Linked DNA regions of Struthio camelus. The protein of the gene in region 2 binds, or shares a complex with, the protein of the main gene of each other region. Links are inferred from orthologs where the notes say so. Each region holds a gene or a part of one and is shown on either strand. Other genes may lie near its edges. The genes, in order: E2F4, TFDP2, LIN54 and E2F6.

Evidence for each region.
Region 1: TFDP2 (region 2) and E2F4 share a complex: the UniProt entries of both Homo sapiens proteins name them as parts of the DRTF1/E2F transcription factor complex. The link is inferred for Struthio camelus from reciprocal best matches to the Homo sapiens genes TFDP2 and E2F4.
Region 3: TFDP2 (region 2) and LIN54 share a complex: the UniProt entries of both Homo sapiens proteins name them as parts of the DREAM complex. The link is inferred for Struthio camelus from reciprocal best matches to the Homo sapiens genes TFDP2 and LIN54.
Region 4: TFDP2 (region 2) and E2F6 share a complex: the UniProt entries of both Homo sapiens proteins name them as parts of the DRTF1/E2F transcription factor complex. The link is inferred for Struthio camelus from reciprocal best matches to the Homo sapiens genes TFDP2 and E2F6.

Annotation. Positions count from the first base shown.
Region 1 is NC_090951.1:24,434,278-24,441,409, forward strand, and holds the start of E2F4 (transcription factor E2F4), read left to right. Parts: upstream 1-4,123; 5' UTR 4,124-4,172; coding exon 4,173-4,340; intron 4,341-6,252; coding exon 6,253-6,362; intron 6,363-6,947; coding exon 6,948-7,109; intron 7,110-7,132. Other genes in the region: EXOC3L1 (exocyst complex component 3-like protein), read right to left, coding at 126-345, 1,535-1,695, 2,863-2,905. UniProt on the Homo sapiens protein: Transcription activator that binds DNA cooperatively with DP proteins through the E2 recognition site, 5'-TTTC[CG]CGC-3' found in the promoter region of a number of genes whose products are involved in cell cycle regulation or in DNA replication.
Region 2 is NC_090950.1:15,383,295-15,391,043, reverse strand, and holds the start of TFDP2 (transcription factor Dp-2), read left to right. Parts: upstream 1-4,734; 5' UTR 4,735-4,849; intron 4,850-7,749. UniProt on the Homo sapiens protein: Can stimulate E2F-dependent transcription.
Region 3 is NC_090945.1:10,330,171-10,337,494, forward strand, and holds the start of LIN54 (protein lin-54 homolog), read right to left. Parts: upstream 3,011-7,324; 5' UTR 2,816-3,010; intron 2,595-2,815; exon of another isoform or gene 2,370-2,594; intron 2,010-2,369; exon of another isoform or gene 1,679-2,009; intron 1,586-1,678; exon of another isoform or gene 1,474-1,585; intron 1,044-1,473; exon of another isoform or gene 523-1,043; 5' UTR 433-522; coding exon 411-432; intron 1-410. Other genes in the region: COPS4 (COP9 signalosome complex subunit 4), read left to right, coding at 3,142-3,215, 5,401-5,480, 6,298-6,449. UniProt on the Homo sapiens protein: Component of the DREAM complex, a multiprotein complex that can both act as a transcription activator or repressor depending on the context. In G0 phase, the complex binds to more than 800 promoters and is required for repression of E2F target genes.
Region 4 is NC_090944.1:23,562,470-23,570,401, forward strand, and holds the start of E2F6 (transcription factor E2F6), read left to right. Parts: upstream 1-4,932; 5' UTR 4,933-5,259; coding exon 5,260-5,316; intron 5,317-7,932. UniProt on the Homo sapiens protein: Inhibitor of E2F-dependent transcription. Binds DNA cooperatively with DP proteins through the E2 recognition site, 5'-TTTC[CG]CGC-3'. Has a preference for the 5'-TTTCCCGC-3' E2F recognition site.

The DNA.
Region 1 (7,132 bases), on a different chromosome or scaffold from region 2:
AGCAACCTGCTCTAACTTTGCCACCAAAGAGCAAAGGGGCTCTCCCTGCATGAAGCCAGAGTTGCACTTGAGCACTCCCAAGTGCCTTTCAGCCAAAACCCCCAAGGACTGGGTGAATACCTTACCTGAGAATAGCTGGGGCAGGACCTTTACCACTGAGGCCAGTTGCACATGCTCCGCCATCAGTGCCCGCATCTGCTGCAAGACCTGGAAGTGGTCAGCACTGTCGAGCAGGGCCCACCGTGCAGCCCCCAAGTCCTGGCACACACTCTGCACCTCCTCGGCCGCTGACCGCAGCTGCTGCAGCCCTGCGTTCACTCCCTCCAGGTAGGACTGGACAGTCGACTGGGGAGCAGAAGAGGATGAAGGAGCAATGGGGAAGCTCTCAAAGGATGGGGGACTCGCACACCCTTTGTTCCAGCCCTGCCAGGCCTCTGCAGCACGTGGTCTGCACTCCGACAAGGTTGCATCTGCCTCTCTCATTATGCTGCCACATCTCCCACATCTCCCACAATGTCCCTATCCCACAGCTCCTGCTCTCCCCATGTACACCCAGCCCCAAGAAACCCGCTCCAGCAACAGGAATGGCCCATTTCACCCTTTTGCTCCAGTGACAGGAATGGCCCAGATGTCTGCTTTCAGCTTTAAAATAATACTAAAATATTTGCAGGACACAGGTCCCCACTGCGCCCCCGAGACAGATTAATGGCACGAAACACCTCAGTGGCCACACAAACGTTCCTCCAAAATGGATTTCCATCTTTTCAGCCCTCCAGTGGCACTGGTACGTCTCCATGCTCTCTCCGCCCCTTTCACCTCTGGCTTCTGATATGAAGAAGCATTTTTACCCAGCATTGACAGAAACAGGTTTTCTCTGAAGCCACATTACTTAAAATTAGTCCTCTCCTGGACAATTTCCCCACAACTAGGGCAGGATAAACCATCTCCGAAATCAGGATAGCCAGGACAAGGTCCAAGGTGCTCAGACCACTCACGTCCTGAGGTCAGTGTTTCTTGAGGTCATATAAAAAAGGATCATAGAGTCACCCTGACCAGGTAGGCATGCACAGTGACCAGTTAAATCCCTTATCTCTGTGTAAAAATACTGTTTCTCCTGTGCGGATTTGCAGGCAGGGATGGGGCAGGCTGGAGCTCTTCACCTCCTCCCAGCCATAGAGAAAGGGAGCCCTTGGTGCTGGGATAGGGAAGCAACAGGGAGCACTGGTTTCTGCACATGGGATGCATTGGATATCCTTGGTATTTTGCTTCTAATTACAGAGAGAGATGCAGGAATCCCATTTTAGCACTTTAACCACACTGCAACCAAGAGGGTTAGGGCAGGAGGGGGTTCTCCTGGCTCTTTCCCCCCCCAACAACAGCATTTCTCCCATCAAAAGCCAGCACAAAGACAAGATTGTTCCAGAAGTGCAAAAAAAGTGATTTGATGCAGAAGACCAGACCCTGGCTGGGATCCCTGCATGGGAAGAGAGTCAAGCTGTGTGTGCTCATCAGGTGGGATGTGGCAAACACCCACCTTCAGCCGGGACTGGATGGAGCTGTTCCTCTGTGTTTCCCGGCTCCGGTACTGCCCAAGCCCTTCTAGTTTCTCGGGGCAGTAGAACACCCCTGAAGCCCATTTCAGAGCAGCTCCTCTTGCTAACTTCTCAGCCTTCTCCACTTCTGGCCATTCCTCATCTGGGGGTGAAGCCGGGGTTAATGAGTGAAATGTGCCTCTCCTTGTGGGGCAGGAAGGGCCCCCAGGGCCAGAGGCAGGAAACCGGCCACAAGCGGATGTTCTAGCACACACAGATGTGGGAAGCCAGACAAGGCAGCAGCAAGCAGGCCCTTCCGGGAGGGCCCCAAGAGGGATCCCAGTGACACAGGTCGGAGGCCATGCAGCAGTCATGGCAGAGGACTACCCCAAAGAGCTGCCAACTGCCCTGTCAGCTCAGGCTGTCACCAAAGTTGGGAGTGTGTCCCCTTGTTGGCCGGTGGGGGAGGGATCTCACACCACCTGGGAAGGCCTTGGCAGGGCTGAGTCCTCAGCAATGAGTCAGCAGAAGGAATGGAGGGGCGACAGCTTGCACAGTCTCTCTGCATGAAGGAGTCCCCAGAGGGGTTGATTTAGAGGGCCCTGGGGCCACCCTTGCCTGGGCAGCTCCACTACTGAAGGCAGAGTCAGACTGAGGTGAGGCCAGGAGGCTCCTGGACTTTTCAGTCTCCCACAGGCACTGGCTGCAGCTGTGTGGGGCCAGCCATTGTGTCCTGCCTTGGCCCTGGTACAGGGTATGAAGACATGCCAGTGGCCATCTTTCCAGGACTGGGGCTGAGAGTTGGCACAATTATCACATGCTCACCCCCATCCCCAGCACCTGGATTCATTGTTTTCTCCCTTCTCCAGAAGCTCTCCCAGCTTGGGACCCTCCATAGCCCCACAGGGACATCACCTAGCCCCGAGCTAGGGTCCCATGCTCCTGATGAGCCTGTCTGCACTGGGCCCGTGGACTTCAGGGGAAAGCAGCAGGTTTGGGGAAGAGCTGTGCGGCGGGTAGCACTGTCCCCAGTAAGTGCTAAAAAGATGGGCAGCTCATCAGGAAGGAGGGGAGATCACCCTGCGCAGCAAGGGATGATCCCAGCCTGCTGTGGTTATCACTGCCAGGAAGCAGGGCTGGGCTTCCACCCACCCAAAGGCAGAAGGCATTGTGCCTGGCATGGGGAAAAGGTCCATCAGATGGTTGGGCAGAGGCTGGGGGAGCACAGGCATCACTGAGAGCCCCTAGCCCTGGAGATGCACTGCCAGTAATTGTATCCCTCCCCTGCCCAGGATGCCAGCTCCGTGGGGGACCGCGCTGTCCCCATTACCTTTGGGGCTCACGGTGTGCTCATCCTCCGCAGACATGCCCATCGTCTCAGTGCTGCGTGCAAGCTCCAGGGTGCAGGGCTGGGCTGTGCGGAGGAAGCCGGCAGCCGTTTCCTCAGCGAGTGCATGCACACTCCTCAGGGGCTCATTGTGTTCTCGCAGACACACTCAGGATGTCAGGAACTGGGGGGAGCGGGGGAAGGCACTGTAGTCACTGCAGGTCGCAGGCTTTGCAAATAGAAATCATGTCCTGTGTGCCCTTCCCATCCCAACCCCCCCTCTTCCCCTCCCCCTCCCCCCCCCCCCCAGTTTGGTTCATCCTGGGCATGCAGCCAACATAGACCCAGTGCCTGCCTTGTGGGGTGGTCTCAATCACAGCTGGATGTTGCAGTGCAGGGCTGCAAAGCAGCTCGTGTGGCTCAAGGAGGGTAGTGAGGTGTCCCTAATCGGTATTGGCTGCCCAGGGGTGCCTGCCTGGGCAGTGTGAGCTGGGTTTGTGTGTTCATTGCACTTTCTGTATCTGTAGCAGGAGCCCACCAGAAGGTGGCACGGTCAGAGATCTCACTCTGCCCAGGTGAGGCTGCTGCCCTACACATCTCTGGAAACAAAACTACCAACGAACGGTTGCCTGGATGAATGCAGCCTGAGAGGACTTTCAGGGTGCAGGGGGGAAGAGGGTCAAACCTCAGCAAATCCGAGGTACGACTTGAAGGCAGGGTATACAGCAGGGACACCCAGTTCATAATCTACCGTGATGACCAAACTAAACGTAGCAGGTACCTCAAAAAAGGCTCCCAAAACACCAAAGCTGCCATGAAGTTTGAGGAAAGGTCTAATACCTGGGAGCAAACCAGAGACCACTGCGTTGCTGCTGTATAAACGCGACACCGAGTTTCCCCGAGGCTCCAAGAGTTGTTACCCCAGCGGCACAAAGTCCAGCTGGCGGCCAGACACTTGTGGTGTCCCTCAGCGATCGGTCCTGGGGCCAATGGCCGTTCAACGTCTTTATTAGCGAACCTGGCTGAGGGGACAAAGGCGGAGGGGTGCAGGGCGCGCCTCTGCGACGTCCGTGTCCGAGGCCAGCCTTCCCCGCTAGTCGGCAGCAGCCGCCCCGGCACCCAGCGCGCACCCCACCCATCCTCGCCCACCCCGGCCCCACCTCGCGCACATGCGCATGCGCGCTGCCCCGCCTGGCGCCCCCACCGCCCCCACCCCTCAGGCCACCCCGGAGCGGAAGTTCCCGTCATGCCCCGCGGCCCGGAAGCGGAAGCACGGCGCGGCCGGAGCCGGCGGCGGCGGCGGTGGCGGGCAGATGGCGGAGTGCGGGCCGCAGCCCCCCGGGGGTGGGAGCGGGGCTGCGGGGGCGCCGAGCCGGCACGAGAAGAGCCTGGGGCTGCTGACCACCAAGTTCGTGTCGCTGCTGCAGGAGGCCAAGGACGGCGTGCTGGACCTCAAGCTGGTGCGGGGCTACCGGCGGGTGGTGAGGGCTCTCCCGCCCCGCCGCACTGGGGCCAGCATCAAGGGGAGCTCCGCCGGTGTTGGGAGTCGGGAGCCGGCGCAGCTGGGGAGCTGAGGAGTTCTGCTGGAACTCCTGCGGGCACGGCTGAGCTAAGCGCCGGCAAGCACAGAGGTGGCTGGTCCTCCGGGGAGTGAAGCAGGTTTTGTGGGGGAGAGCGTAGGTGGAAATGGCGATCTCTAGTGGAGCAGGTCTAGGGAGGTGAGGCCTCCTCATCAGGCAGATAAAGAGCTCAGCCTAGGAGAGAAGTCCCCGGGAAGAGCTGGGGATGTGGCAGAGCTACCAGACTGCACATAGAACATGCAGAAGTGGCCGGGTACTTACCATCACAGTGTAGATATTCCCTCCTGCAGCTTCCTTCCAAATAGTTCTCATCACTCAGCGTTTGTATTTCTATTTGAACTGTGTTGGGCTATCTTCTTCTCTTCCACGTTCTTGGCCAGGCTTTGGAAGGCCAGGTGCAGGTGCTGTTCAGTCCAACATGCCTTCTGCCTCATGTTTGCTCTGTCACATGGTGCCCCAATCTCCCAAAGCTGCTACTTGAACACAGACGTTGTAATGATAGATCCCTGTAATGCCTCATCGGAGAGCTGCAGAAATGGAGAAACTTGCTCCTTACTGCATTTTGGCCTTCTAACATACAGCAGGAAGGAGAGTGAAATCAGATTCATCTCTGCCGGGACTGTGCCCTGATGCCTTTATGTTATGGACAAGTGTTCTGCAAGTGCACCTTGCTCATGCATTTTCAAGATCTTCACCTAGAGAAAGGAACTCTCTTAATGAAATATGCAATACTTATATCTAGGCCTCCTCTGCATATGAAGTTCTTTCAGTGTGGTTTATACCAATCTCTTATGTGGCTATGTGTGTGAGTTCACTCTGACAACCCCTGCATAGGCTCCAGGCAGGTGTGGGAAAGCCCTAAAAATGGAGGGTCGGGAGGAGTCTTCTGGTTGTAGACTACAGTCCTCTGCTATGGCAAATTGTTAGCTCTTTGGATTTTGTCAGAAGAGCAATATTTTCTTGCTCAAAATATACATTAACTAGGATTCATATTTGTCAGTGTGATTTGAGCAGTAGTGCTGTGCAGGGTCTCTAATGCCCTGGTCCATTACCGTGAAGATGTGTGAGAGAGGAAAGTCATTTCTGTGCTGACCATCTGTGTCTGACTGGCTGTGCAATGCCATCTGTAGTATTCTAGCATGCCAGCACAGTGCCAGCTAAACACCTAGTGCTGCTAAATTGCCCTATGAAAGTGGAAACGAAAGGCTCAACATTGTCTGGAGTATCCAGCAAGCTGAAGAGAACTGTAGTAGTGGAACCCTTGGGGCAAAACAGCAGCGAGCAAGGCAGGGAAGCACGAGGGTTGCTCAGGAGCTGCGTCCTTATAACTGTACTTATTCTTCCCCCAGTGGAGACTCTTTCATATAAAGAAATCTGCCTTTTGAGAAGGTGTTGATTCTCTCTATCAAATGGCATGAGATGTAGATAGAAAAGACCTTTTAAACATCCACTTTACTGAACAGTGGTCAACTGTATAGGCATCTCTCTACCTTCTCCTGTCCGTTCTCATCTGTCTTACACTGAACAAGCACTGAATTTTTAGGCTGCCAGACTAGTGTCTTCTAGCACAGCTTTATTGTTGAGGAACAATGATTTTTGCACCAGCCCTGAATGAGGTGGCTGGAATTAGATTTGTGGTTAATGGGAAGGTCTGTGGGTAAGAAAAAGAACAAAGGGGCAGTGACTAATTCTGATTGTTGTAACGATGTTAAGAACATGGCTTTGTAGTTTGAGGCGCTGGGGCAAGAGAGGCATGAGGTGGGGAGCAAGGGGTGGCTGAGAGTTTGGAGTTAAGTTTTCAACTTTTCTGCAGGCTGCAGATACCCTAGCGGTGCGGCAGAAACGACGAATATACGATATCACAAATGTCCTGGAAGGCATTGGACTGATCGAGAAGAAATCGAAGAACAGTATCCAATGGAAGTGAGTGACAGAGAAGACTAAATTGTTCATAGATCCCTTTTAGTCCAAGGTCCTATCTCACAGCTGTCTTTTCCCCATGCAGGATAGCAGGGCTTCATGTGGTTGTTGTTTAAACATTGTGGTTAAAATGCCCTGCTCAGGGAAAGCTTCCTCAGTGGTCTATGCATGCTTGTGCTTCCCCGAGCTGAGCTGTGCTGTTGCTAGTAATGAGGAAAGCTGAAGTACATGTGGCATGTCCCTTTTCTAATGGAGCTGTTATCTGAGCACAGATGAAGTATTTGTAGTGCCTTGGATTAGAAAAAATGCCTGCTGTGGCACTGGGGTGGGAGAGTCCTGTTAGCCGGTGGGATGTAGGAGGATGTGCTAAATGTTGCTATGCTAGGAAGGGTGTAGGACAGGTACAGGTAAGGCTTTCTGGGAGATCTGAGCTTGGCATATGGTAGAGATGGCAGCAAGAGAAATGTTGGAGTTGGTTTGGATGGCTCAAGACGCTGATGCATGTTATTCCTTTTTACATTGCACAGAGGAGTTGGTTTGGATGGCTCAAGACGCTGATGCATGTTATTCCTTTTTCACATTGCACAGAGGGGTGGGTCCTGGCTGCAACACACGTGAAATAGCTCACAAACTCATTGAGCTGAAGGCAGACATAGAAGACTTGGAGCAGCGGGAACAGGAGCTGGAGCAGCAGAAGATGTGGGTCCAACAGAGCATCAAAAATGTTACAGAAGACGTGCAGAACAGTCGATATCCTTTGTGTGAACTGATTA
Region 2 (7,749 bases):
AGACTTGGTAGGGAGCCCTCCCCACTAAGCAAATCTTCAGTGAGTCAACCTGACTGTTCCTGTGGTTATGAGCTGAGATATCCAGAGCAGCTGTAGTAATGTGCTACTTAATGTACAGCAGATCTGGATCAAGTTCTGGCTAAAGCTCATCTTTCTTGAGATCTTCTCTCCTGAACATACTTAAATGAGAATCCTGACCTGAAGTCCGGAAAGGGGTCTCTTTGATCTGTAGTCATGCAGCAGACTGGTACCTATAGAAATTTCAAACTTTGCTTTTTGGACCATGAAAATGTGGTCATCCAGACTCCAAGGCTTATTAGCCTGTTGATAAGGGCCCCTCTGCTCCTCGTTCTGGTGTAAGGAAAGAACACGTGGAACACTCGTCTGCTTCTACCCCATGTCCAGCTTGTGATTTGCTTTGTCATCTCAGCCTCACTGCCAAGGAAAATACTCATTATTGGCAAGTAGGTTTTATTAAGCCAAACTGACCAGGGTTTGAGTCTGGCATTTTGAGCAGAAGCTTGCGGCCTCAATTTGCTGGTATTCTATGCTGTTATGACTGAAGGAGCTTAGTTTCATCAAGTCTACCTATCATCCGCTTAACGAAGGATCCTTGACTTTTTATCTTCGTTTCATAATTGTGTTTTTGCTGGGCTTGATTAGGGTTCCCCTGCCCTGCTCACAGCCGAAGATCTAATGGCTGATTAGATCTAAGATCTGAACAATTCTGAGTTACTGCCAGAGGAGCCAAGTGAACAACTCGCCACGAGCCTTGCTACTGGACCTTTTCACTGTGCTGGTGTTCGCCTTTGCCGTAGCACAGCTAGCAAGAGGGAAGACACTCAAGCCCTTAAACAGTTTTCTTTGTCTAGGTAGTGTTCTGGAGGACCTGTTCAGAATAATTCTTTACAGCTGTGACTGTTTAAATCTGAACCAAGACATTTAACCTGTTTTTCCTTTCACTAGCCTCAGATCTCTAAGGCAGAAACTTCACTGCAAAGTAAAGATGCAGAAGGACCCTGTTATGTTCACCCGCCAAACCTTTCAAATGATCTCTAAAGTTATTGTTTCCACTGTGGAGAGGTTGAAAGCACTGAGTACACCTCTGAAACAGATAACGGGGTGCTGTTAAGTCTGCCAAGATGGAGCTGCCTTTAGAGATAAGAGCATCTACCGTAGCTTGCGATGTGTAGCTACCCAAAGATTGAACAGACTAATAGACAGTACGTCTTGAAGAACTTTAATTACTGAAGAGTAAACGTCTTTTCTGTATCTGTTACAAGAAAAAATTGATTTTACCCTTTCAGGAAGTTTTTAGTATACTGATACTTTAATACCCTTTAATTGCTAATGAATGTGAAATAGGCTTTAAGCAATTAGATGTACTTTTACTGACCCTTTGCTGTCTCAATTTTTGTTAGTATTACTACATTAAAAGGCATTGAGACCATTGTGTAGGCTCATTAATATCAACTTTTATTTAAAATATGAGAGCTGTTACTTGTCCCTTTTAACTTAATTTTAGATTCTGCCTTGGAGGGTGGTTTTCATCAGTTTGGAAAGTGTATGCAGTTCTACATTTGCTAGCAGCCGAGTTTGATAGTGAAGATAATAATGCAAAAATGGTAAACATTACTAATTTGTACTGTAATATTTTAAGAGGTGCATCATATTTTGTCTGTCAATGTTCTGCTTGGGACTGGGTGGTAACGCACTTAAATTAGGCATGCGAAGATTGGGAATTCAATGGAGAGATGTGCTAATGATCTCTGGGCATTCTGCCTTCACAGGTTCACATGGTGTTGATGGATATAGATAAAATTGCCAAATTGGGGTGAAATTATCATGTGAGATTACGTGACATGAAAAATCTCTCAAATATCTGCAACTATTGGTTAATTATTGCATGTCAATAGGGCAGATGAAATAATCTTCTGATGGTATAAAATCATTTTGCGTTGAGTAGGTGTGGTGTAAGTTTTCTCATATAATTAAGAAAAGAATCAAATCAGCTAGTTTTAAAATCTCACTGGAAATAACTTTTCCAAGATTTTTTGAGTACTGTTTTCTTTTAGGCGGTGTTTTCTCCTACAACAGTTAATTTTATGCAAAACAAATGCGGTTGCTCTTAGGTGTTTTTGACAAGAGCATTTATACATGTTCTTTTCTCAAAAGAAAGTTTAAAGAATAAAAAGAAAAGAAAAATACCAAATTGCTTTTTCAGTCTGCTAGGCTCCTTTTGGTGTGGTCTGTGTAGCAAGATCCTTCAGCTAGTTCCACTGTATCCGAGATCAGAGAGCAGCCCAGTGGCTCACCATTTGACAGCAGCCTGTGAAAAAAGGTAAGAACTGTTTCTTGCCTGGAATATAGATTTTCTTGCTATTCCTGGTCCAAGCCAAAAATGAAGGACAAAGTCATCATTCTGTCTTCAAACTGTAGCACCCACCAACATGTCAGTCCTGCAGATTGTCACGAGTGTGGTAGTGCTCTGACTCAGCTGTGCAGCGTTTGAGTGAGCCTGAAGTTTTTATAGTGAGTTATAGCAAGTTCAGCAGGAGAAAAGTATGTGCATTTTTTGTTCGGACTGGCGTTCGTATAGGTCATTACAGCAAGAATTCGGGGCTAGCGAGAATGCGATGAAACTAGTGAAAATTGAAAGGTGATGCGTTGTGAAAGGGAGGGAAAACTCTGAACGGGATACGATGAGCTAGAGGGAGCAAGGCGGTATTTGGAGGCTGGGAGACCACTGACCGCTTCTGGGGGCAGATATCAGCACCTCCTGCCTCGCAGGCTTTGCTCTTAGAAAATCCATCCTTTGTTCAGTCTGTGCTGTCTCCCCAGCTGTCTTTTTTTAATATAAGAAACCAAATCCAGGATGTTTTGCAATGTGGTCCTCATTTTGGAATAAAGTTTGGAATTTAAGTTCTAATACATTATATACCACTATTTATTGTTACAGAAGTAACTGCGCTTACACTGTCTTTCAAACTGATCTTTGTTCCAGCAGCTTTGAACATGCACGTTATGTATACAGCCCTCTCATTCTGGACAGGTCACTGTTGAAAGCCTGTGCAAACTACAGCAGCGTGCTTTATTCTATTTCTCTCCTCCATAATAGTTCAAAGGTGTATTTTTCATATTCGTAATCAGTTACAGTATCCAACTTCATTTTATAGTTGTTTCTTGTAGCAGAACAGGAAACTAAAAAGAGCTTAACTGTCTTTACTGGGGCTGCGTTTCAAGTTCAGGTATTTGTTCAGCACAGGTAACTTACTGAACAGTGCGGTAAACCAGCTAACCTGGTTTACTTCTGTTTTGCTTCCTTTCTTTTCTAAGGCTGTGCCTGCCTTCTGCGCCTCTGTCAGGGCCTGTCTGAGTTGCCTTGCTGTTAACTGTTGTGATTAGAACTATTACAAGGGTCTTTGAGAGAAGACGCAATAGTTGGCATTTTTGTTTAGTGCTTTCATGAGGGTGTCTTGCATAAAACTACAAATATTGATAAAGATCTTGTTGCATATGACAGAAGTAGTTTATAGAGGATGAAGGGAAACTGAAAACACGTCGTCAGCAAAATATTGGACGCGCGCTCAGTCTTCTGTTGTGAATTGTCCCAGTGAAGTACACACACAGTTCTTGCTTGCCTGTTCCAATTATTTCCTTACTCTTTAGTTTAGGAACCCTAATTTACAAGCTGAACACCATTTGTTTGTTTGTTTTTAGGGGGATAGGATCAAACATATCTATCTTTTAGTATTGTCTGTAAAGGGAGAAAAACATGGATTTAGCAAATTTTCTGTTCTGTATGGCTTAGATATTTCTAAAACATGGAAATAATAGTGTTTCGGCACACAAATACTCCCTTCCCCCTCCCCCCCGGAGTAGCACTAGAGTGACTTTGTGTTATAGAATTAAAAAAAAAGAAAAACGAAGAGTTACTGCATACCTGGGACGCATGTCTAGCGCTCTGCTGGAGCTCTCGTTTCTTTCAGAAATGTCACGTCGTGGTTTTGAACGGAACTAGTCTAGGGTTGCTCCCCCCCCCCTTTTTTTTTAAAACTCCCAAGACACTTGTCTATTCTTTTTGTCTCTTTAGGAATACTTAATCCCGCTTTGTTGAAAGTAACTTTTGATGACGAGAGGGCAGCGGCAGGGTCCCGCAGGTACCGCTGGGCAGCGGGACGGCGGGGCCGGGGCGGGGGTCGCGCTCGGCCCGGGCGGCCTTTGTTTCACAGCGGGCAGGCCAGTGCCGCCCGTCCCGCCGCCCGCGCAGCGGCCGTCACCGCGCCGCCGGGCCCCGCCGCCCGCTCTGCCCCTACCGGGCTGCCCGGGGCGGGGCGGGGCGGGGCGGGGCGGGGTGGGGCGAGGGGGCGCGGCCCTGCCGCCGCCGCCGCCGCCGCGGGGCCGTCAGGGGACACGGCGGCCCCGGGCCTCGGCCCTCGGCCGGCTCCGCCCTTCCGCCCCGCCCCCTGCACCGCCGCGCCGGGGATTGGCGGGCGGCGTGTGTACACACAAGGGGCCGAGCCAATAGCGCGCGGCGGGCGCCCGAGCTCACGCGGTGCGGCGGCCAATGGGAGCGCCCGGCTGCCAGACGCCGCCAAGCTTGTGCGGGGGAGAAGGACCCGGGCAGAGCACGGCGCGGCGGCGAGCGGGGCCGGGCGCGGGGGGAGGTGGCGGCGGCGGCGGCCGAGCTGCAGTCGACGCCACCCGCCGGGGCTGGCGCACCGGCCCGGGCGGGCTCCCGTCTGCGGGGCCTCCTCGCTGGCGGCGGGTGCGCGGCGCCGGCCCGGCCGAGAGGCGTCTTCTCCGCGCGGGGCCGGGCGGAGCGGCTGGCTCCCCGCCTCGCCGTCTGGTAAGGGACCGTCGCTGTCTCGTCGCCGCGGCGCCGATGCCTAGGCCGGGCCTGCGCCGCCGCCGCGCTCCTCCTTCCTTTCCCCCCCCCCTCCCGCGGGGGCGCAGCGGCGGCGCCTCCCCCGCCCCCCCCCCCCGGCGCCCCGCGGCGTTTAACGGCTGCGCCCGCGCCCCCCCCCCCCCGCGCGGCGGCTGGCGGCTCGGGCGCGCGGGGGAGGCGGCGGCGGCGCCTGCCGCGCCCGGCGGGGAGTCGAGCCGGTGCCTGGCACCTGCGGGCGGCGGCGGGTGACAGCCGCCCTGCGCGCCGCGGGAGCGGGCGGAGCGCTACGCTGCGGGCCGGGCCGGACTGGGCTGGGCCGCCGCGGCGGGGGCGGGGGGCGCTGCCTCGGCGGCGGGGGCCCCCCCCCCACCCCCCGGTAGCCGGAGCTCAGCCAGCGGCTCGTGGCCCGGCGAGCCCTGCGTTCAGCCTCGCGTGGTTGCGCTGACTGCCGGATTCTCTCGGGGGAGGGTTGGTGGTTTGAAAAACAATAACAGCGTGAACTAAATAGACGCCTCTTCCCGTGCCCTCTGAGTTGCAGGCCTCCTCTGACTTTTCAGCCGAAACGGGTTTAAAGATGGAGAGGAGTCCGAATGTAAACGCAGCCTTTCGGGTTTAGGAATACAGATCGTAAAGGCATGGCACAACAATAGCAGGAAAGCATAGAATAAGTAAACTTCCTTGAGATGTGGAAGAAAAAAAACACATCTGGGAACTTGCTTCCCCATGGAGCAGAGAGATAGTGCTGAACTATGTGTGAGAGCTCGGACGGTTTCTTCATATGCTGCCTTCTTCTGTAGAAAGGACTCTGGTTTTCATTTTCTCTGTCGTTTTTTATGATAGTTAAGCTGATATAATTTAACAGATGTGCTGTATAATAATGAAAAATGATTATATGCAATTATTTTAATGAAACTGCGTTAATACTTTTAACAGTTGATGAGTCTTTTTCAGTGCTATCCCTTACATAGTTTAGCGTTGCTGATAGAAAAAAGTCAACAAACTATATGTTATGTGATGTTATTTTAATTACTTGCCACTTGATGTAATCTTTGATTAAAAAACAACTGTATGCTGCTATGAACTGATGCTACTAAAAGAGAAATGAATGAATTATTTTCCAGCGCTCTGCCCTCCCCAGGTTAAATCTGAATCATTTGATTAGGATATATTTTGTTTTCTACAGAAAACATCATTTTATGCATGGACAACGTCTCATAAAGGAAGATCAGTGTTGTAATACATATGCAGAACTCTATTTAGCAGCTTAGGTTTGTGCCAGTGTCATGTATGCGCAAAACCATTGTGCATAGTCAAGTCCTGAATTTCAGTAGCTTCTGTTCAAAATAGCATCTAGTATGCTAAATATAGCGCTTTGAAAGAGCATGGAGAAGTTCATGCTATAGAAAAGCCTTGACAAGAGAAGTAGTCACAAAAGAAAAAAAGTACAGATATCTCTTCTTTGAAAACTTTTTTGTTGTGAAGAGAGTCAAGTGCTTCTACTAGAGGTAAGAATAATAGAGCGAATAATTTAGTGTTATACTGAGGAAAAAATGGAAAATGACTAAATATTAGCAAGATTATCTCATATGGGTTGAATTTAAGAGCAATCTTATTTTACTGTCAAATTCATTGGGCTTTCTTTTAACCACTTCCTGTTTGCACAGAAATCACTGTTTTTGCACAGAGGAGAAAAAAGAAACTATTTAACTATTAGTTTGCTGATGTAGTTAGCTTTATAGAAAACATGCATCACTGATAGGCGTGCTCTTCATTGCCGCAAAAAGTTCTGATTGTTGTTCTCGCTCTACAAAATGATAAGGTATAGTTTTCAATACGTCTTGAGCCCAGCTGCCTGGTATAGAAGGGGTAGGCCAAACAACTTAGTTGGGCAAAAGGCATAGTGCTGTTTTGCAAGAGATCTGATGCTACATGAGAAGTCTTTGCTTCTGCTTTTGTGTACGTTGGACTCTATTGTAGGGGCCTCTTGTGCATCTGGACGCACTTGCTGGACAGTTGTGCGCCGCTTCAAAATGAAGAAAAGGCCTTGCCTTTCAGCATCTTTCTGTGGGTTTGGCTAAAAGTGCTGTTACAGGACTAGCCAAAAAAAGGAACCAAATTTCCAACTTTCCATCCCCTTCTAGAGTGTATATCGTTAACTGATTTAAGGGAGCAGACCACTTCATTGTACCTAGAAGAGTTTGGTGCAATTCTCTAAAAGCAAAGGGCAATTAGTGACCTGATATGGTTAGGGAAGGGAAGCTGAGGCCCATGCTGCGTAAATACTAATATTTACGCCCGTGGGTCCTAATTTGAATCAGAATGGGTTCTTTAGTTATAGCTAATCTAATTCAGTTCTTGGAGTTGATTTCCTTGATATGCTACCTTAAAATAGCATTCTTAGCCCTGTCTTTATTCTGCTATGTTTTCTTAAATTGCCTTTTCTGCATGCTTTTTTGGTATAACGATTAAGGATTTCTCACCCACCTTTCTGACTATATTCATAGAACGTGACTACTACTAGTGAAACAATAGTGAATTTTAAAATAGAGTGAGTTGATTATCCTTTTTCTGATCTAGTGCAAGAAAATAAACTTATGGAGTTTCCGGGTGCAAAGCCAATCTGAATCAATCAGACAAGTTTATCATAAAATTTAAGATATTCAGTGGAAAACAATCCTTAGTGGAATAATAGTACATATATTAAATCAAAGTTCATATATAAGATGCCTATTGAGGGATCTCAAGAACTAGGTGTATGCTAGGTAGTACTGTAAAAAGGTGGAGGTGCAGTGGGGAGTGGCAGTGTTATAACTGAACTTCCTATTTTGATTCTTTGTATACATCTTCTTGACATCCATTAT
Region 3 (7,324 bases), on a different chromosome or scaffold from region 2:
CTCTCCAAGTTAACCTTTAGCAGTGCTTTGCCTATGGACAATACAGGCATATCTCTTTCTATTGGTTAAATGTAAGTATGTACATGATACAAAACCAACACCTATTACTCGGTAGTACACATGTAAATTGGATGTTTTAGGGAATAAAAGGACATATGTAAGGCATTTTACTCTGAGGAAAGATTTCTCTGAAAGACCAAATACTCTCAGGCGATAACCCACTAAGCCAAAAAGCTATTCTGAATGAACCAGCCAGGTATATTAGGACTTGCTTATTTTAACTAACTTTATGTAAACTTGGTAAAGAACATTCAGTATTATTTTTCTATATGTACTATTTCCTATAACAATTCTAATGTGTTTCAGGCAACCGTTTAGAAGGATGAACCTATGGAAGGTCATTCAAATACCTGTTTTATCTTTAGTTAACATCTTCTGACAGCTTTTCTCGCGTTCACGTTATGTTCTAGAGGTCGACAAGTTCACACGCTCTGAACACTCAATGCTTTCCAGAACTCAAAGCTGCCATATCAGAAGTTACATAATTAGTACACGATGTGCAGAAAAGTAAAGGCCACCAATAATTAACAACACATTCTGACCAGCAATATACACCATAACGAACGAGAAGCAAAAACGATGAAGTGAGAAGCTCAGACTACTTGGCAAGACAGTCCAGCTAATTCACTGCAAACCACCGGATTCTCCGTTTCCATGCGTCCTTTTGGACGGAAAGTACAGGTACACCTTCACACTTCAGCCGGTAGAGGAACTACGGACAATACCGCGGGCACTTGTTACCACAACCTGTTTTGAACGACCAACTGTGGCTCCCAAGCCGAGCATCTCCAAACACAAAGACAACCTGCCCTCACGGAGGGCAAAGTCCACCACAGACACGGAGTTGCAGGAGAGGCCAGCCAGTCCTTCGCCAGCGACCCAAACCTGAGCTGGTTACGTGTTGTCAAGGAGTAACGGGATGAGAGAGTCCGAGGGCCTAATTCACCCACCAGTTTGTCCTGCCTCCTGACGCGAGCAACTTACGGAGCAGGCCGCCCGGCGCCGGAGCGAGGGGACCGCCACGCGCCATCCTGGCGACACCTGCCCGACCATCGGGCGCCGAGGACCCCTCACCCTTCCGGGTGCTTCCCGTCATCCCCAAACACCCCCCCGCCTCCCCCGACACGCCTGGGCAGCAGGACCGAGGCCGTGCCGACCCCCCGGCGCGGCCCCGGCAGCGGGGCGGGGATCCCCCCTCCCCTCGACACCCGCCACATTTGGCGACAACCAGAGCCGGCGGCCGGGGGAAAAAAAGGGGAGGCCGGGGGGGGGGGGCGGGGGAGGGAAGCCGCCGCCGCGACCGTTGGAACGGCCCGGCCCCGCCAACGGCCGCCGGCGACCGTTAGGCCCCGGCCCCCTCCCGCCCCCCACCCCCACCCCCCGGGCGCGCGCGCGCGGCCGCCGGGGCCTCACCTCAGCGGGGCGGGCGGGAGCCGCCGCCGCCGCTCCGTCAGCGGCCGCGACCGTATTTCGAAAGATCCGCCATTTTCACCTCGTCATCGCCGCCGCCCGGCGCCGCGGCCCCGCCGCCCGCCCCCCGCCGCTCGCCCGCCCCCCGCCCCCCCCCCCGAGGCACCGGCGCGGAGCGGCAGCGGCTGCTCTGGCGTCGCTGCTTCACCTTGAATCCCGTCGCTCCGCTACCGCTTGCGCTGCGGCTTCTTTCGGGAAGCCGCAAGGCAAAGGACGCTCGTTAGGGCAGCGCGCATCTCGCTCGGCTTCCGAGGAGAGGCACGTTTAGCCCATCGTTTCCTCCCCCACCCCAACACCATCCTTTAGTCGCTCCATCCGTATTTCCCTCCGCGGCCGGCCTGCGGTGCGCTCCGAGGAAATGCAAAGCCAACGCAGGCTGCGGAGTTACTTCCTCCCGGGCGACAGCCCGAAGCAGCACAGATGACGGCTCTGCCCTGCTGTCTCCCGCTTCTGGCCTCCGCCGAGGGACACGGGCAGCTGCAGACGCCAAAGCGGGGCAGCCCGCGCTCATCAGCGGGCCGCGGAGCCCCCCCAAGACAGCTACCGGGCAGCGGGGGCGGAGGGGCGACCCAGTGCCCCCCCACCCCGAGGAGCCCCCACAAGCAGACGGAGCCCGCCCCGCCGCGGGGAGCGAGCGCCGGCGGGGCCGGGCCTGCGCCCTCTCGGCGGGCGGCGGCCGGGACGCCGCTGTCAGCGCCGAGGCACCGCCGCGGCCGGGAGACCGGGTGTCTCCTCCCGGCCGTGGCCTCCTCCAGCCCCCCGGCACCGTGCAGGGCCCGGTGCGCGCCGCCTCCCCCCGCCGCCGCCGCCGCTTTCCCGCCCCTCGCGCTAGCACTCACCGGGCTGCCGCTCTTCCTCCCCCGCCTCCCCGCGCCGCCGCCGCGCTCCCGCGCTACCGCGCCCGGCGGCGGCAGGAGCGGAGGCGGCGGCGGCGGCAGCAGCGCCCGCCACCAGCCGCCGTGTTTGTTCAAAATCACGCGCCCCGCGCCATTCCACCGCCGCATCCCATAATACTGCGCAGCGCCGCCCTGGCAACCGCCGGCGCAGCGCCCTGCGCGCGCCACGCCGCCCCGCCCCGCGCTTCCGGCTCCCTCACACTCCCGCCTCCTCTTCCCCCTCCCCACCGCCACCACCCTCGGTCTCGTTCGCTCCCACGGCTCGCCCTGCTTCCGGGGCGGGGCCCGCGCGCGCCGCCGGCGGGGCGCGGGCCCCACCCCCGCCTCCCCCCCGGCACGCGCGCACATATGCATTTCTGTATGTTATATGCGGCTGGGTGCGGCCGTACTGCGTCTATAAATGAGTTCGTGCGTTTTTCGGGAGATGCGGAGCGCCGCGGTTGCGGCCGCCTTCCCCCGCCGCCATCACAGCCGGCCGGGCCGCCCGGTGTTTTGCCCCGCTCGGTACAGGGCGTGTTTTTTACGCGCCGGGCAGGCAGTGCCGCCGTGACAGGCCGGCGGCGGCGCCCGCCCGCCCGCGCCACGTGACCGCGGCGCGCCACCCGGCGGGGGGGGCAGAAGCGGCGGCGCCTCTCTAGCCTTCCCTCCCGCGGCTGCTCTATGGTAGGAGGAGGCGCGGCCGCCGCCGCAGGGCCTGATCGGCGCCGCAGCGAAGATGGCGGCCGCGGTGAAGCAGGACCTGGCGCAGCTGATGAACTCCAGTGGCTCCCACAAGGACCTGGCGGGCAAGTGAGTGCCGGCGTCCTCCTTCCCTTGGCGGGGAAGCGGCGACTGGGGGCAACGGCTGGGGCCGCGCGGCCGTTTTGGGGGGGAGAGGGGATGGGGCCGCGCGGCCGTTGCTGAGGAGAGTCCGCGCGGCCGTTGGTGGGGGGGGGGGCAGGGAAAGAGCCGGACGACCGTTGATGAGGAGAGTCCGCGTGGCCGTTGGGGAGGGGGGGAGGTCGTGGGACCGTTGCTGAGGAGGGTCCGCGCGACAGTGGGCTGTTGGGGGGGGGAAGGAGTCGCGCGACCGTTGCTGAGGAGAGTCCGCGTGGCCGTTGGGGAGGGGGGGGGGAAGGAGTCGCGCGACCGTTGCTGAAGAGAGTCCGCGCGGCTGTTGGGGTGGGGGGGGAAGGAGCCCCGCGACCGTTGCTGAGGAGAGACCGCGCGGCTGTTGGGGTGGGGGGGGAAGGAGCCCCGCGACCGTTCATGAGGGGAGTCCGCGCGGCTGTTGGGGTGGGGGGGGAAGGAGCCCCGCGACCGTTGCTGAAGAGTCCGCGCGGCTGTTGGGGTGGGGGGGAAGGAGCCCCGCGACCGTTGCTGAGGGGAGTCCGCGCGGCTGTTGGGGTGGGGGGGGAAGGAGCCGCGCGACCGTTGCTGAGGGGAGTCCGCGCGGCTGTTGGGGTGGGGGGGAAGGAGCCGCGCGACCGTTGCTGAGGAGAGACCGCGCGGCTGTTGGGGTGAGGGGGAAGGAGCCGCGCGACCGTTGCTGAGGAGGGTCCGCGCGACCGTTGGTGAGGGGGAAGGAGCCGCGCGACCGTTGCTGAGGAGGGTCCGCGCGGCCGTGGGGGAGGGAGGGAAGGAGTCGCGCGACCGTTGCTGAGGCGAGTCCGCGGGACCGTTGAGGGGAGGGGAAGCGGGGCGCGATGTCCTCGCCGCCAGCGCCATCCGGGGTCGCCGGAGGGGCTGCTGTCGCCTGCAAGTCGAAGGCTGCGCGGGCTCCCGGCCTCCGGGCCAGCAGGCATAGCTCTTCGCCCTGACGGTAGGGTGCTTCTGGGTCAGCTCTTGAAATAATATGATTCGTCCTCTTTTTCCTGCTTGTCTTTATTATTGTTTTCAATGAAAAGTGCCTCTGTGCTCTCACTGTCCTAGCGCAGGCCCCTTGGCAGTTGTGCTGGGCCTTACCGCTTCACTGTAACTCCTACACCCCACCCCATTCTGGGTGCCTGTCCGATTTCAGCTATCTGTCCGAAAACTGAGCAAAAGTGATAGACCGTGGGGATTTTCTTTCCCACAATTGCTTCATATGCGTGCAGAACTCCTCCAATGTGTTTTTACTAAAAAAGTCAACAATGAAAATTTAAATTTAAGTAAGGTATTTTGGATATGAGATGTGGGATTTGACTTAATCACTGTGCAGTATATTACCTAGTTTCTTTCTTTCAATTCACTTGAAATTCCTTCATTACCAGTCCAATTCCTTATTTTCTAGAGGAATTGCCTCAGATCTAGGCACTTCATATTTAAAAATTCCTGAAACGTTCCCCTGAAAATGCAGCTTCAACATGAATGTAACTCCTTTCAATGTTGTACATGTTAAGATTATGGCCCAGTAAGAGTTGCACCGGCCTTATACAACTACTACATGAAAGCTGCAGTGAGTATGATTTGTTAATATTTAAACATTTCAATAATAAATACTTTATAAAAATAGGGTATATTCCCTGCCTATGATACCATCAAGTGTCTATAGTATACTGTTTACTTCCATCTCTCACCCACCACTGCTTCTTGTTCCCCCTGAATCTGCCATTTTTGCACTTCTGTCACCAGTTACTGATTTTAATATGCGAGGGATATAACGTTCTTTACGTTTCCTGTGCTTTCTCTTTATGGCAAGACAGAAAAGCACTATCCCAGGAATAGGTTGGGGTTTTGATTTTCTTAAAAGGCATTTTTCATTGCAGATATACTAACAGATTTGTAACTATGTTACGGTGGAAACTAGTCCTGGAACTTTAAAAAGACACAGATACCAGTTCCAGGCGAACGTTCCTGGAATTTTAGCATAAACACTTGGGCAAACACGCACCTCGAAAACACAGCAAATGTAAATAGAAAAAGCACTCTAAGGAAGAAAATAAGCACAGAAACAGGAATACTTAATTTAAAAAAAATATGAAATATGACTTTTTCTTTTTTAATCTGTGGGCAGATATCGTCAAATATTGGAAAAAGCCATTCAGCTATCAGGCGTCGAGCAACTTGAAGCTTTGAAAGCTTTTGTAGAAGCAAGTAAGTGTGTCTGGTATGACTGTTCACACACTGACTAAATGAAGGTCTGAACCTGTGGGATTGCGTATTTGTTAGCTCTGCATGAGGCTAAATAAATGTATAATATTCTAGTCATATTAGAACTTAAACATGACTAGAAGAGGCACCAAACATCAGCATATTCAGACTTGTAAGTTTTCTGAGTTAATGGAACTTTCAAACCTATTAGTATTACAGTGTCTGAAGGTAGACCTAAGCACTGTGTACAAATGTAAACTAGTCTTTGTTGACTGGTAAAATGGATAGTGGATAGAAAGCTGTCTTTAAAGAAACAACTCTTCTCTCCTTCCAGTTTCAGGTTAATGGGGAAGATTGCCAAGAAGAAATGGTTTGATTTCTTTTTGGTGTTGTATTAGTTGTTTGGCTTATTGAGTACTTAAAGAAGTTATATCTGCTATATCCGATTTAGAATTTTAGAGTAAGCTTAGTGAAACTTAGACTAAATGTTTACTTTGTCTGAAACGTTTTAGCAGCTGAGAACAGCGATTCAGAATGAAACATCTTCCTAGGCGATAAATCAGAGCAAGAAAGACACTGCTATTCACCTCAGTTCTAATCTCTGGCAATCTCTAGTGTAAACAGATAGCATCGGTTTGTGAGAGAAGGAAAGTCATCTTTGGGCGGGGGCAGCCCATAATTTAAATTTAGATTTAAAAGTTGAAGAAGCTCAAATTTAATATTAAAGCAAGTGATTGAATGGCTATAGACCACTTACAGTGAAAGTGCTGACATGCGTTTCTTCCATCTTATATTCTTCTTCCATGTGTCTTTGAACCAGTGGTGAATGAAAACGTCAGTTTAGTGATCTCACGTCAGTTACTGACAGATTTCTGTACCCATCTTCCAAGTCTTCCTGACAGCACAGCCAAAGAAATATACCACTTCACCCTGGAAAAGATACAGCCTAGGGTCATTTCATTTGAGGAGCAGGTAAGACATCAGTGAAAAGCATTTCTGGTTTACAGGCTTGGCTTTGCGGTGTAACTGCTAAATATTGTTAGTCTTCAAATTTGTTGTTCAAAACAGATGTTCCTACTTAAAGTCCAATTTGGCATTCTTGTGCGAGCAAAACTTTTGCCAAATGCTGTGAGGATATGGGACTGTGCAAAGAATACAGTCTTTGTTTCTTAATCAGGATGCGAGGCATGTAATTCCTCCACTACCAGAAAATGGCTTCTTACAATGAGACAATACTTGAGCTACTGGAAAAGCTGTCAAGATACAGACTGGTACTGATTATTTTACATATTACCCAACTAATGGCATGGGCAAGTGATTGAAAAGAGAAGTATTTTACCAAGTAGCTTCTGTTGCTACTTAACATTTAAAAAAAAAAAACAACCCACATTTAAAACTCTTTAAGCCCAGAAATGTTGTACCAGAAAAAATAGTTTCCTAGAAATCCCACCTCTACAGTAAACTGCTGAATACGTTGCAGTTCTTTTTTCAAGTCTGTCCTTGGTTTTCTTGTACAAGTACCTCAGTATTTGCTGAGAGTGGTTACTGAAGATGCTTATATAAACATCTTACTGCATCTAATATTAGGACAAAAACCACGCAGTTGCTGTCATGATTTGTATTTGCATGTTGACCTTTTGTCTTTTTAAGCAGCTTTCACTCTAAAGCTTAACTGAATATGTTTCCCTGCATGTTATAGTGATTATGCAGAAATTAAATTCAAGGCATCACATGGCTACTTCTTTTAACCACACTTCTGCTTATAAAACCCAGATTCTAGCACTGCTACTTTGCCTGCAGACAGCTGCACTACAAATTAGAAGTTTTTGGATTAGTTCATGCCGTTC
Region 4 (7,932 bases), on a different chromosome or scaffold from region 2:
GATTTGAACACTCAAAAGTTCTCCACAGTATTTCTCTCAGCTTTTTGTAATGAAGGAATTGAAAATCTCCACTCCTCTTTGGTATCAGAGAGCCTTCTACCTCAATTCTTCTCATCTAGGTTTATCAATTCTTCTTTCATGCTCAATGCCTGAAGCAGGCCAGGAGTTCTGAAGCACTCCTTCAATAACAAATACAATAAAGCCCACTTGCAACAGAAGACTTCTGTTTATAAACTGCTTAGCATGAAAATCACAGAATCACACAGAATCACAGAATGCTTGAGGTTGGAAGGGACCTCCGGAGATCATCTAGTCCAACCGCCCTGCTCAAGCAGCGTCCTCTAGAGCATATTGCCCAGGATCACATCCAGGCAGGTTTTGAATATCTCCAGCGAAGGAGACTCCGCAACTCTCTGGGCAACCTGGCCAGTGCTCACTCACCCGCACAGGAAAGAACTTTTTCCTCACGTTCAGATGGAACTTCCTGTGCTTCAGTTTCTGCCCATTGCCTCTTGTCCCATTGCTGGGCACCACGGAGAAGAGTCTGGCCCCATCCTCTCGACACCCTCCCTTCAGATACTCATACACATTGATGAGATGTCCTCTCGGTCTTCTCTTCCCCAGGCTGAACAGGCCCAGCTCTCGCAGCCTTTCTTCAGAGGAGAGATGCTCCAGTCCCCTAGTCATCTTTGCAGCCCTCCGCTGGACTCTCTCGAGTAGTGCCATGTCTCTCTTGTACTGGGGGGCCCAGAACTGGACACAGTACTCCAGACGAGGCCTCACCAGGGCTGAGCAGAGGGGCAGGATCACCTCCCTCGACCTGCTGGCAACACTTTGCCTAATGCAGCCCAGGATACCTCCAGCAAGTTCTGGTTAAGACCTCTGCCTAGAAACTCTCAGGTTCTTCCAGATGGGAGATGGCTTGCAGCCAAGTTTCAAAACCCTACTAAACACACAACATTCACTGAACCTTTTTAATAACATACAACAGTGTTCATATGCGGCAAGCACTTGCTCTTTCCTTAACCCTAATGACCTCCTCAGGGTACTTTTTCCATCTATTTAATTTCTTATCTGGGTTACAGGTACAAAAAGTAGACGGCTTAGGTTAATAGCATGTCCTAAAAAGGTTTATCTTGCCACAGATACCTATATCTATGTCTATGACATACCATGTCACAGATATCTATGCCTTTTAATTTTATTTCAGGTGTACAATGCAGGACATCACAAAAAAAAAAAAAGAATGCTGCTTAGCGCTGCTCTGTAAAAGATTTGATGCAATTTTCCCCATACTCATCTGACAAATGAAAGAAATTGACTTGATTTCTTAAATTAATGGGTGAGTATTCACCATCTATGCAGAAGCAATTTTTCTACCCAGATTAAGATAAGCAAATAATGTTTCACATCTTTATGCCTAATCATTATGCAGTGGTGAAGACCTTTAATAGGATTTCAGGAAGGCTAAGAAGCTTACATAAACAGGCATAATAATATACCAAAATATACATTTTAAACAAATACTTACAGCCATTTCTGTTTTCCATGATTTTTCAGTTTTGCGTCTTTGCAGGAAAATATTTCCCTGCTCATCTTTGCAACAGTACATACGAACCTCCTGGAAGATTCACTTACAAGTTTATTATCACTAAATAGAAGACTGTATTTAATACAGGATCTCTCTTAAGTGTGTATAGTTTCTTACAGAATAAGGCCTTGGTTTTAATTGTAGTATTGTACAAATTCTATACATATAAATAAAATAAATACATACTAAATGAGGATATAAACATATCTGTCAGGTGATATTTAGGATTATGCATACAGGCTAATAAATACTAACATGAAACTAGTGTAATAAACAATAAAAGACTAATGGGAAAGCAATGACATTCAAAACAAATTTTAAATCATTAGAGTGGGAATATAAAATATACAAAAAATTCCATTTTGTATGAAACCTAAACCATGCAGCACAAGCTTCACCATTAAAAATTTTATATAAAACAATCTAATTTCAGCTGCTCAAAATGGAAGTACAACACTTGCAGGAGAAGCACATATAAAATAGAACATTCATTTTATTAACCTCAATGGAATTAAATTACAGTAGTGAATTTTTTTAAGCAAATCATATTTTAACTTTTATATATAGCACTTTACAAATTTAGTGGAACCACTGTTCTAATATATACTAATTTTAACAAATCAGACTTAGGAAATGGAATTACCGCCCCCTGGTGGCAGATCAAAAATCAATTCAAAGTGGTAAACAACTTCAAACTGACAACCAAGCAAATCTTTCACTTTAAGAATCGTGTCCAGTACGGTTAATGCCTGGAAATATCACAAAAAGCTAAAGAGCTATTTTCGTATGCAATAAGATAACAGTAAGTGGAGTATAATTTACATTTTCATATGCTAGTGCATTAACCAAAGAATTAATGTGGAAGAGATTTCATTATCAGTTTTATTAAAAATAAATAGTAATGCACTAGAATTAAACCCTTTGATCAACAAAATGCCATAGCTGAAATTCCTGACAGTTCAGTTTCTTCAAAACCTAATTTTCATTTAAAATAAGAATCAGAATTTACACTTTTCACGTGAATGTCAAAAAATTTTCCTGAATCTGAATCAGTGTAGGACTTTTCTTTGCTCAGTTACTTATTTCCACAAGCCCATTGATAGAGGCACAGGAACAACAGAATTTTATCTTATGAGCAGCTAGAAAAACAGTACAGTGTTCTTTTCTAAAAGATGTAAATGTTGACACAATGTTTTTCACATGGGTTAAAATGGAAATGCATGTGTCCTAATCCTCAAATTATAGTACTTAGTCTTCCTCCCAGAGTCTGTCTATCCAATAATCATCAAAATTATACGTAAAGATTTTTATGCTACATGGCACATCCATTACGTAACCCCAAAATAAAGTGGTTCAAGACATCTATTCCAAACCATTTTGCTGTTCCAGATGGAAAAAATTGCTTTATCACAGTGGGTTTATACGACCTGTGACAATAAATGTAACATATGTCTTCCAGTCAAGAATACAAAGAGGGAGACATTTTGATTCCTTGTGGGAATATAGATTTATCACCTTGAAGTAGTCAGCAAGAATTATCATGTTCATAAAAAATGAATATGAATCAGGAATGTCATGCAAGTGTTTTATCTCACCGTGATGTGTTGTTGCTTCCATGGAGAACCTTTTGCATTTGCATTAGTCCCAGCTCTCCTGAGAATACAAACAAGCACCATCCGCATCTTCAGATCTACAACTCAAGTCTTCATGTCTCCTGATACACAAAAATCATAGTTTTGAGGAGTTAAAACATACTTTTTTTTCCTGTTTTTTTTTTTTGTTATAAACTGATTAGAACATGAGAACAACATACCTCAGTTCTGTATGTCTCTACAGGGACAATTATTGTTACGCAAATCATCGACTAGAAATCAGTTGCTACACAGAAAATCCCATCCTGTATCAAGAGATCTGATGTATCATCAGTGGCGCCAAATGCTACTCCAAAGGAATATCTAACCTGCAAGGATAAGAAACAGCTAGTAAATGGAAATGGATTCAATATTTTGTCAAGATAATAGAATGTTAGTTGACCTATCCCATCAGATGCATTGGAAAATGAATCAAGTCCTTCATGCCTTAGACTTCCTCATAGTAGACTAGCAGTTTCACAAAACGTCCAGTGAAATTCACATTTCTACAGAGCACCTGCTTTGAGGGTGTGGAAGGTGGGGGGGACTTTAATTTTCACCAAAAGTTGTAGAGCAGGGAAGCAAAATAATTCAGAATGTTTTCACGTAAAAGAACTCTATGACAGAGCATCTATTGTACCATATGGTAGAGGCCGTTAACTGGCATAAACAGCAATCAATCAACACACGGTTTAACGGACAAAAAGAGTTACATGTTTTACAGAAATGTTTTCATCTGACAAACAGGAGCTAGCTACTAAGCGATGCAGACAAATGAGCAAGGAAACAGTCAGTGCCTGACAAAGGATATCAGAAGTATGGAAGGAAGCACGGAAACTGCCAGTGAATTGGGTATTTGGGAAAAGATTTGAGAACTCCTGTTGAGAGGGAAACGTGCAGGCTTAGTTGAGGCAGCTGCATTTGTTGGCTCCTCTCTGGCCCTTGAGGAACGTACTCAGCTCTTCCCCCACTAACGACTTGTAATTAGTGATTCTCAGTAGGGTCATGGGATCCTGATCTCCTATGGCCGCCTGCTCCTGGCCGGTCAGGACAGGAATGCATTATTTGGCAAGAAGCAATAGTAATTATTTCCACTTGTCTTCAAAGGTGCCTGGGCAGGGCACTTTCTCCTGGCTTACATTGCACATGGAGGGAACGCAAGGATCCTGCTTTCAAATAACTGAGGTAGTGAAAACTCCTGTTTTAATCCACTTTAGACCACTGGGGTGGTGAAGGGAGTTCTCCTTGCCACCCACAGCCCACTGGAAAGACACGGGGGGAGGCGGGAGAGCAAATCTTTTTTTTAATACTGCTTCGGGGTGGGGAAAGGGGGCAACAGCGCAGGGAGCACCAATCTGGGCGATACTCGAAGAAGCCTCCTTCCCCTCGGCGCTCAGAGGAGACATCTCCCCGGCGCTCCCGCAGGCGTGAGCCAGGCAATCGCCGCCGAGCTGAGAGAGAAAGGCGCCGGCGGCGGCCACCCTCCCCCCACCGCGACCAACGGCCGTTGAGGCCCCGGCGGGCGGGAAAGGCGGCGTGGGCGGGGCCGCTGCGGGACCTCGCCGCAGAGGCTCGTGGGTAAGGGAAGTCGTCGCTCGCCGCCCTTTTGGCGGTGGGGGGGAGGGAGGTTTGTCGTCGTCACCTGTCGCGCGCCGCGCTCGCGCCCGTCTCCGCTGAGCGGGCTGAGGCGGCGCGCGCGGGCCGAGGTGGGGTGGGGAGGGGGGGGCAGCCGAGCGCGCGCGCGCGCGCGGCCGCCGGGGCCCTCTCTCCCGCCCAACGGTCCGCTGGCGGCGGTGGGGGAGGGGAGGTGCGGCCGTAACGGGCTGCGGCGAGGCCGGGAGGTCCCTCTACCACCCCTCTGTCCCCTCCTCCCTGAGGCGGGGTGGGGATGGCGGCGCCTTCTTCCGACATGGACTCGCAGCCGCCTCGCCGAGGCCCCTGAGCGCCCTCCCACCGCCGCCTGCCCGCCGGGCGGGAGAGGCCTGCCTCAGCGCTAGGCCGCGGCCGGCCTGAGGAAGGAGGAGGGGCCGGACGAACATGGCCACCCCCGCCAAGTGGGAGCGTCTGAGGCCGCTGCAGCCGGACACGCTGCGTGTGAGTGAGGGACACGGCGGGCGGGCGGGGAAGGGAGGTACTGCCGGCGGATGGGGCTAGGGCGGGACGGCCCTGCAACGCTGTGCTCCCGCCACTGAGCGATTTAAGGCGATCCGGGAAAGTCTTTCCTCTCACCTGTCTGGCAAGATATCCCTGAGCGGGGAAGATGTGGTGTGCCTGGCCTGAGAAGTACACAGAAGCATAGTGATGCTTCCCTCCCTCATGGCTTTTTAGCAGGCTGCCTGGGAGAGGAGGCTGTCATAACGTTAGTGAGTGCAAAGCAATGTCTTTCCTAGCTGCGCTAACTATAACCTGTTAGTCGAGTTAACTAGGTTGTAGATGTGTTTGAAAAATCAGTTGCAGGGTGGTGCTTTATTTTACTCTTATATGAACGTCTGTGAAGTTCAGGTAATCTACTTTTCTGTGGTATCTGGCATTACTTTTAGTAATGTTACGAGGTAGCTAATTAAAAATAGGTTTACTTTTAATTCTGTGTCACTTTCTTTAAGAAATGCTTGGTTTTATTAACTTCAGCTATTGGGCTAAATGTTATTTGGTAGCATTGCCTTCCTGCTATGAAAAGGTTTCCCTGAATTTTTTCCATCAGTAGTTGAAAATTTCTTACTACTAGAGATGGTGATTTTTAGAGACAAAGGGTGTAGGGCACAACATAATGCCGCGTGATGGATCAGCCAACCAGAGGTGCTGTCTTGAATCTGCCTCTCATCAACAAGGAAGTCAAGAGTGTGGTAACCATTAGCAGCCTTGACTGCAGGGGCCACTGAATAGTGGCGTTCAAGATGCTAAGTGTAGTGAGGACGACAAGTAGCTGAGCGCGGATGCTGGACTTCAGGAAAGCAGACTCCAGCTTATTCAGGGAACTGGTAACTGAGATTTTTTTTTGGAAGGTGACTTTGTAGGGTAGAGGAGCTCAAGACCTGGGAGTTCTGGTAAGCACACCTTCACTCAAGCATGGGAATGTATCCAGGAATGTACCATCCAGATACACAGGAAAACAAGATGTGTGGAGGCATGGCTATGCCTGAGCTTGGGGTAGGGGGATCTGCAGGTGGTGGAAGTGAAGTCAAGCTACAGAGGAGAATTGTCTGGACATGTAGGCATGATGTAAGGAAAGCTGTAGCTCGGTTAGTGTTGAAACTGCCAACGGATGTCAAGGGTGACAAAGAACTTTTACCTTAGCAGTAAAAGAATAAACAGGAAAACGTGGATCTGCTGTTGAATGGGGCAAGTGATTTAGGGACAGCAGACACAGATGAGGTTGAAGTACTCGGCCTTCTTGTTTGGGTCTTCAGAAGCGAGGTTCTGTAGGCTCTTGTATCTAAGGATAGGGCTCAAGGAGAAGAGGAACTACCAGTAGTGGCAAAGTATCAAGTCTGGGATTTCTTGAGAAATCTCAGCCCCTACAAGTCTCAACAGGACCTGACGGGATGCTTCCAGAGGGATCTGAGAGAGCTGACTGATATCATTGTGAGGCTGATCTCTGTCATTTTCAAGAGGTTGTGGAGATCAGGTGCAGGTTGGTCAGCCACACTTCAGTCTCTCAAAAACCATGGAGCGAGTTCTCTTGGAAGGCATTTCTTAGGAACGTGAAGGAGAAGGTGGTGACTGGGATTAGCCAGCATGACTATTCTTGCATGACCAAACTGATTATCTTTTTTGATGAAATGACTAGCTCTGTAGATGCAAAGTATTGGATATCATCTGCATTGACTTTAGCAGCACTTTTGAAATAGTATCCCACAGCATCCTTGTCTTCAAGCTGGAAAGTTACAGATGGTCAGCTGCATCTATCCTGTATCTTTATGGGTGATCTGTAGGAGGGCGTGGGATGTGCTCTTGCCAAGTTTATGGATGACACCAAATGAGAAGGGGAAAGTGCCATAGACCCCTAGGCACAAACTGGAGGAATGGTTCAACAGGAGCCTTATGGAATTTCATAAGGAAGTTGACAATTCAATTCAGACTAGAAATCCGGCCACCTGACCCTATAGCCCCCAGTGGTACACACTGGGAATTGAGTGGCTGGGGAACAGCTCTCCTGAAAGGACCTAGGCATCCTCGTGGACAGTAAGCTAAATGTGAGCCAGCAGTATGCCTGGTAGTGATGAAGCCCTGTGGGACTGTAGCAGCAGGAGCATAGCTAACAAATCAGAAGAAGTGATTATTTTTCACAGAATCACAGAATGGTTGAGGTTGTGAGGTTGTGAGGTTGTGTCTTCTTTATCTGGCGCTTGTTAAAGTACTCTTGGATTACTCTGTCACACTTTAAGAACTCTAGTACAGAAAGGATGTTGATAAACTTGAGTGCTACCAGCAGAGATCCACCAAAAGCGGTCTGGAGATTAGTGTACATGAGCTATGAGGGAAGCTGAAGGAGCTGGGCTTTTTAAGCCATAGCAGTGTTCCAGTACTTACTAGGAGGTTATTGAGAAGATGGAGCCAGGCAGTTAACAGTAGTCCATGATGGAAGGATGAAGGAACCTCTCTCGCCTCTCTTCTTTCATTTCATGCCTTTTTTCCAACTTGATATAAGGAGAAATGTTTCACTATGAAGAGACACAAGCAGTGGAAGAAGTTGCCCGGAGAGGTGCAGCC